2 linked regions of the Lepisosteus oculatus genome follow. The protein of the gene in region 1 interacts with the protein of each later gene in a biochemical or structural test. Links are inferred from orthologs where the notes say so. Each region holds a gene or a part of one and is shown on either strand. Other genes may lie near its edges.

Region 1 (3,756 bases):
CACTCTTTCTGCCTCTTAGGCACTGCGTTCAGATGTCTGCGTAGCTCTCCTGCAGCATTCCTGGGGTTTCCCTGTTCAGCGTTTTGAGCCCTCTCCTCAGATCAAGACTGCTTCTGAAAGGTTCACCTTCGTTCAGCTTACTAACACACTGAAAAAAGATGCGATCTCAAAAACCAAAATACAAGGATAAATTCCAAAAAGCACTTTTATAAAGCCTTAAGAATGCAGTGTACATCAGGGATGATTTGTTATTAATTGATAGCATACTACATTCATGTACTGTACATATACTCTTTCTTCCATTCATCCGGAAATATTCAAAAGATTATGCTTATTCGGAATCTATATCGGAACCCCGTGTTCACATGAAAACAACTTTTGATTGATGATTTGCACTCAGACATTTGGCTTCCAATAATAACGTTTGTGAGAGACATACTGTATATTGTTTGTATAACAATATCCCTACGATTCAGAGCTTTAATTCAAAATCTCGAACAGCTTTGAGACGCTGGATTCTCAATCAAGCACAAACGCATCTGCCACTTGTACTAGAATACAACAACTGCGAAGTTAATCAGATACATTCCTGATGTTTAAATCAGGGTGAATAAAACACTAAGCCCTCTATAACACAACTCTCATTATATTCAGCTACAACATTTTATAATGTTAACTTTCTTGTGTGTTTTTTTCTTTTTTCTCACATCCTATTGGCTTTGAGGACTTGTATCATCACTGCCTTCTTTTTAATATCGATTGCCGATTGGTCACAATTGTCATAAATCAAAAGTGAAGACTCCTCCCAAATCTAACAGCGCTGCTAGATTTAGAAGAGGAAAACTGGTGCGCCTAACTTCTGTCAGGAATAGAAGAGCTTCTTTGAAAATGACTAGATTCGGAGTTTTTCCCCCCGTTTTTCTTCTCTAACGAAGCCGCACTTGGAAGCAAAGTACTGAAATTCAAGCCATAGTGTCCAGGTGATTAGCGATTGGTCTGAATCTCGAAATAGAAGATTTAAACCTCTTGAAGGGCAGTAGTTTGTTCATTCTTGCACCGTAAAATTAGTTTTTTGATCAGAAAAGTAGTGGGCATGTGTTTTTCCACTCGATATTTCTTTTACATTTTAAAGTTAAATAGCAGAGTAAGAATTTAGAAAGTGAAGGAAGCAACAGTTCTTTATTCAAACCCTGAAATAAAGTACTTCTGGGGATAATTATCCTATCTCTGTATCAATCGCATTGTTTGATCTCAGTGCTTTAGTTTCAATGAAGTGGGGAAAATGTACTGTACATACAATGATATGTATATAATTTGTGTGCAAAAACACACAAAACCCTTTCCAGGAATGTTTTGTTCAGATCTTCACATTATTATTCATCGGAGAGAACAAAGAAGCATGTCAATTTAATAATACAAAACTGTCCTGAACCTGGGAAACAACTTTTCTTGAAAAGAAAATAATTTAGCAGCCACAGTGGATTATCGTCCTGGATTGCTTCGGGGGATGTCAGGGAACGTCTACATAGAAGGAATAAATCATTTCCGAATGGAATATAGAAATGATGCAGTAATATATAACCCTGATGACTAGGTGGTCTGCTTTGTCGACCCAGATTATCAATGGGGAAAATACAAATAGCATCCAGCACATGCTAAAGGTAAGTCAGCTACTCTTAAAATACTAGCAAATTATATATACTAGATCCTTTAGAAAACAATAACCTAAATGTTTCTATAGAAATATCAAATTTCTGTAGAAGGTCTGGCGTAGTTTTGTTTCGGTAAGGGACATCCAAGAAAGGAGACTGCTAATTTCCTACATCAAAGTAGAATTAAACAGAATGATTTGTTCAGATTAAGTTGAAATCCCATATTACATACAGAATAATATTCTTGTAGTATTCGGGGTATTTGACATTTTAAACAAAGTTCGAGATAAGAGTAGCATTCATTGTTCGAGCGTTCGATCTTTGTTTAACAATGTAACAACATGTACTGTATAAACGTAAGCAGTTGAGACTACCGTTTGGGTGGTAATTGGTGACAGATGTACAGATGATAATTTAACAGTTCAGATTCTGAGCTTAAAATATCAAAACCATTGCGGCTTTAGGTGGTGCTTCCGACTATTTAAAACATTTTCAATAGCAACTCCTTTCCTTTGAATCAATTTTACCAGCTGTCTAATAATTCTAAATAGTCCTCGTTTTTTGTTAGAAAATACCCCCTCACGCAGTCATAAACCAATTGCATTAGATCACAGCTCCAGAAAAGTTTATTGGAAAAACGTTTTAATATATCCTGTGAACTCCATATGGTTATGACACACTGAAGAGGTGGCATTTCTTTCCATTTTCTCGGTACTGGGTAACATTCAACATTTTCTTTTTTTAGATCGGTTTCGAAAAGACTGTTCAAAACCATTTTTTGACACTTAGACAGTTAACTGAATTTTCATGCTTTCGTTTTGTGGAAAACTGTGAATGCAAATAGATACGAGCACAATTCTCCAGTTATATGGACCACTAACAGTGTTGAGGCGCGTTTCGTTTCCCATCCTAAATCCATTAATATAAAGTTAAAATGAATGGTGAACTGTGGACGGTTGTGCTGTACATGTATTTCGAGTCTTTTCTTTGAAGTACTACATCCAGTGAGAAGTACGTTGCTTATTTAAGTAGGACCTAAACGTAATATTATATTAGATTTGCTAACACCTCGACCAACACACTTCTTTTGGGATATGATAGGACTATGATATGATAGAATTGGCTCTGCAATGCTGAGGAAAACGCATTAAGTATTTCACTACTGTGGTAGTGGATAGGTTAAGTCCCTCAGTACCAAAAGAAGTTTGTTATTCTGCTCCAGATTTCCAGTGTACCAATGGAAAAACTTGACACATGGATACTTTACTGGGCGGAGAAGACTTTTCAGCTTTTGCTAGCATGAGACTGTAAATTAAATGACAAATGTTAAGAGCTAGACAGCTCACTTCCATCATTTCCTTTACCCTTCAACATGCTTTTGGCCCAAACAGATCAAATTAAATATCTGTCCCTACAGGGCCTAAGTCAACACCAGAGCCTTGAGGATGAGGTTGGTACAGTTGGAAAATCAAAGATGAGTCATGGTAGGGTCATACTGGAACATCATAATTGATTAGTTTACTTGACAACTGTTAGATAATGCTTAAACCTTGTATGTTTATATTACATACTCTTTTTAACAATAGAACTCTAAAATGTGTCCAAACCACTAAAATACATTCCCAATTAGTATAATTATATAAAACATAAGCATAAATTCATCCCCAACTGCTTGTTCCTTAAAGGGGTAAATAATTGAAAAAACATACTGTAAAGTAATCTTATCTATTATATATATATTAGATCAGAATTGAGAGGAGGTCTGAAATTACTGTGAGCATGATAGTATAGTTTGTATTTATATGGTCTATTAAGGATAGATAAATACTTTTACATTTCTTATATTTTTAAAAACCTGGAAAGACTTTAAACACGCATCTTTAATAAAATGTCTTACTCAGAGTTTACTATTATTATGTACTGGTCTTATCTCTCTGCACTTTAATATTATGCAAAAGGTGAGGAAGTCCCACAAAATCTGGACATCCTACTATGGACTTGTTATATCCATCCATATTCTAACTGCTTCTTCCAATTCAGGGTCTCAGGGGAGCCGGAGCCCATACAGGCGAGCAGAGGGTACAAGGCAGGGTACACCCTGGAC
Region 2 (3,756 bases), on another chromosome or scaffold:
TGTGTGTTAGCGCACACTAGACACTTTTGTCCACTAGACACTTTTTTTACCCCCCATTCACGATTAGGACATTCTAGACATCTTCACTTTCAGACATTTAAATCTGCTCTGGCTCACCTGTAGAATGATGTTTCAAATGGTGTATCAAGATGACTATTTTACGACCGAATTGTTCCCTGTTTCACAAGATTTCTAGGTTTTAGTTCTGACCCCTGGCTCCGTCTCTGACTTTGTCTTCTGGATCTTGACTTGATTATTGTGGATTTACTGTTTTTTTACCCTGGCCTGACATCCTGAACCACATTTTGGGATACACTCCTGCTGGTACTTCTGAGTTCAGAGGATTTTCCCTAGGGTCTTCTGCATTGTAACAAAGCCAGAGGTCAGAGCCAAAAACTTAGAAATCTTGTGAAACAGGGAACAATGCAACTCCAGCTGAGTAAACCCCAATACTGAGCAAGGAGTGGTGTGTCAGGCTGGTTTAAGCAGGCAGGTGGAAGAAGGTGTGTCTGATTAGTTCATTGGAAACTGCACTGGAATGTGTAGGAGTTGATTAAGGGTGGTTAGTTCTCTTGTATGCTGTGATGGACTGGTGTCCTGTCCAGGGTGTGTCCTGCTTTGCACCCTGTGCTTGCTTGATTAGGCTCTGTCTCGCCATGACCATGTTTAAGGATAAAGTGACTCCTGAACATGGATGGGTGTTTGTAACACTGGAACAGAGTTAAAACAGAGGCAGCTGAAACACAAGATGGGGGAAGTAAATGGTGTTATGAAACTGCTAGGAATACCTTTGTAAATATGCCTGAGTCATTAATGAACCACATCAAAAAATCCTGCGAAGAAGCAGCTGCACAATTCATTTGTAGCTCGTGTGTTTGAAATGTGATTAAACATTTCTTACAGTCTGAATATATACTGTAGTTTGCTGTTTTAGCTTCAACTATGTCGGTATGCTAAGCAACAACAAAGTAAAATCTGATTCAGCTGGTTAGAAAACATTTGTGTGTTGTTCAGTCTTAAAAAGAGAAACAAATAATACAACAGGCCTACAAACAAACGTTTTAACTTGTCACCTTGAAATGTACATTTATGTAAGCATGTATTAATTCCAGCCTTTTAAGCAATCAAAAGTAGAAGATTTTAATGTACAAACATGTTAAAAACAGGCGTTAGACGGTATAGACATTCTACTTTTTTGTGTATATGTAAACACAACATCAACATCACGCTTGAAAATTAACTACAGATTGGGGCGATATCAAGAGGTGTACAGATTACAAATATACTTTCGTGGGCAGTGTTAATTCTAAAAATGCTTTCCTTAACAATACGCATTATTTTTTATCTTCGTTTTAACCTGTAAGATGATGAGGTCGAACTCCAGCGAATCACAGAAAGCTGCCTAGCCACAAAAAAATAAATCCCTGTGGCGCGAGGGGAGGGTTCCGTCTAAATGCCCACAACAAGTAATTATCCGTGATAGGTCTCGGTTTGCGCTACGGACAGGTCAGGACTGAGCCAGAACCTTAAGACGGATCGCTGTCCATCAGGCGTGGGATGAGAGCGGAGCCGGAGGCACGCTTTCCGTTCGCGTCCAGCAGATGGCGCTATGTGCGCTCTAGCGGGTATCGCAGAGTGGGCTCGGTGGTGAGATGCTGTGTCTGGGAGCGGGTTGGTGGAGACCGGAGCGGAGTACCAGCGATGCTGCCTCTCTGTAGCTGCTGCGCACCGCAGTGATCCGGTCTCGCTTTCGTACAGCTGTTTTGATCCGCCGCTCGGCGGATGCTCCTTCTTCCTGTCTCGGCCAGCATCCAGCAAATGGTCCATTTCTGCACCGCGGCAGGGTATGAGAGCACAATCCATCACTGATTGAATTTTTGGACAAGAAAGCGGGAGAGGAGTCGAGAAGAAGCGCTGTTCCAAAAAGGATAATATTTGGTAAGTGCAATGTCATTCCAGTGGCTTTTTTTCCCTTCTCCCCCATTAACCCTGCATGATGTACAAAACCACAAGATGCAATTGTCTTTGAAATGGAGAAAACGCAACAGCGCCAGCTTTCGCGCGTCTGCTTATCCGAAAGCATTTTTCTCCCCTTTTTGCGGGTTTTGAATTGACGTGCATTTTTACGGTTCAGCTGTCTCAGAAAACCGTGTTTGGTCGCACAAATAGCACAGGTAACATGTCTGAATGCTGACTGGAACAGAAGCCCGTTGATGTCGCTATGCCCTCCTAGTCGGGCTTCTTAGTGTAGCGGATAGCTTAATACTTTCCTGCCTAGTGACCTAAATTTCGAATCAATGGTGGATTTTATAAGCCAGTGCCTTACTGTGTAACACGAACGACTATTGTTCCTGAGCAAAGCGTCTTGGCTTCTAAAAATAGGAGCGTCGTTTGATAAAGGTGAATGGAAACGCGGTTTATTCGGGAACTATATAATTAATGACTGAGAAAGAAGCATCTCCCATCATTCTGAAATGCTTTTGCCTTTCCATCCAGTAAGGAGAAGCAGGCGTATTATAAAGACACTGCTTCTTGTTATCTCAAGATGGACATAGTTTTGCTTTTCTGTCGCTGTGTATTCAAAGACGCACAATACACAACAATTGCAGTATTAAACACATTGCCTGCATGAGGGTAACGCAATTATTGGCATTAAAAGTGTGGGTGAGATAATGTTGTAGATCTACCTCCCGGATGCCAAATGGACGTCCTTACTGCAATACAACCATATTACAATTATTATATAATAGAAAATGTTTTGTTGGTGTTGGTTGTATCGTTTTTAGAGCAAATACAAAATATCCGTCTATTAGTTGTTTTAGTTATTAATTATCAGACGATATGCTGTTGAGGTTAGCGGCAGAAATGCTACCGTTCCAGGATTTATAATATTCCTTGATTTGCATCTGGAGCAATATTTCGTTGTAACGGTTCCACGGTATTTTGACAGTTAGATAAAGAACTTCATAAAATATTTAAAATATTAATATTTCGTTCACCGTTCATTTCCCGTTTCGATTATTTTCAACAAATACTTTGAAGCGAAAATTTTCTTTGCATTTATTTTTGAAACACTTCATATAGAAATACAGTACATGGTCAATTCTCCCTGCAAAATGTTGCACGCCTCAAAGTGACGTTTTTCAAAGTGAAGTTTACAGTTTATTTAAAGGATGAATGAAATAACCAGTTTAAAGGGATTTTGACACCATAGCATGTATTAAGAATTTCAGTAAAAAAAAGTATTTGGAAATTTTGCGCTTTCTCTGAAAATACAGTATGTAGTTCTTATGGTTTCAATCTCTTGAAATGCGTTTCAATAGCGAAGTAATATGACCGCCCGTAATCTCTAATAAAACGAATTATTGCTGGAAACATTGAAACAGGCTGGATCATATACAGTATATTTGTATATTAAATAAAACAACAATTAGGCTTGACATTTTCAGTCCAAGGATAGATTTCTAGATATTGTTTTTTTAACTGATGGTATTGTACAGTACATTGGCTTCTTTACAGACGGGATTGCAAAAATAATAAAAAAAAAACACCTTTCACGATGTGGGGGACTTACAGATATCATCACCTAGAGAAATATGGGGAGATGCTCCTCTAAAAGAGTGGGTCTCAGGGCTGCTTAACCACAAGTGTCAGTGTTTGTGGACCTGAACCAGCCTTTAAAAAAGGTTGGTTTTTTAAGTCAGTTTTTACAAGGGCGTCTTGCCTGTATTAGTCGCGATGGCAGTGAATCTCTGG

Evidence for each region.
Region 2: the proteins of pdzd2 (region 1) and ctnnd2a form a complex in vitro, tested with the Homo sapiens proteins (2 studies listed by BioGRID and IntAct, with this or other methods). The link is inferred for Lepisosteus oculatus from reciprocal best matches to the Homo sapiens genes PDZD2 and CTNND2.

What each region holds. Positions count from the first base shown.
Region 1 is NC_090698.1:39,803,073-39,806,828, reverse strand, and holds the start of pdzd2 (PDZ domain-containing protein 2), read left to right. Parts: upstream 1-852; 5' UTR 853-1,661; intron 1,662-3,756.
Region 2 is NC_090701.1:1,140,370-1,144,125, reverse strand, and holds the start of ctnnd2a (catenin delta-2), read left to right. Parts: upstream 1-1,464; 5' UTR 1,465-1,938; intron 1,939-3,756. UniProt on the Homo sapiens protein: Has a critical role in neuronal development, particularly in the formation and/or maintenance of dendritic spines and synapses. Involved in the regulation of Wnt signaling.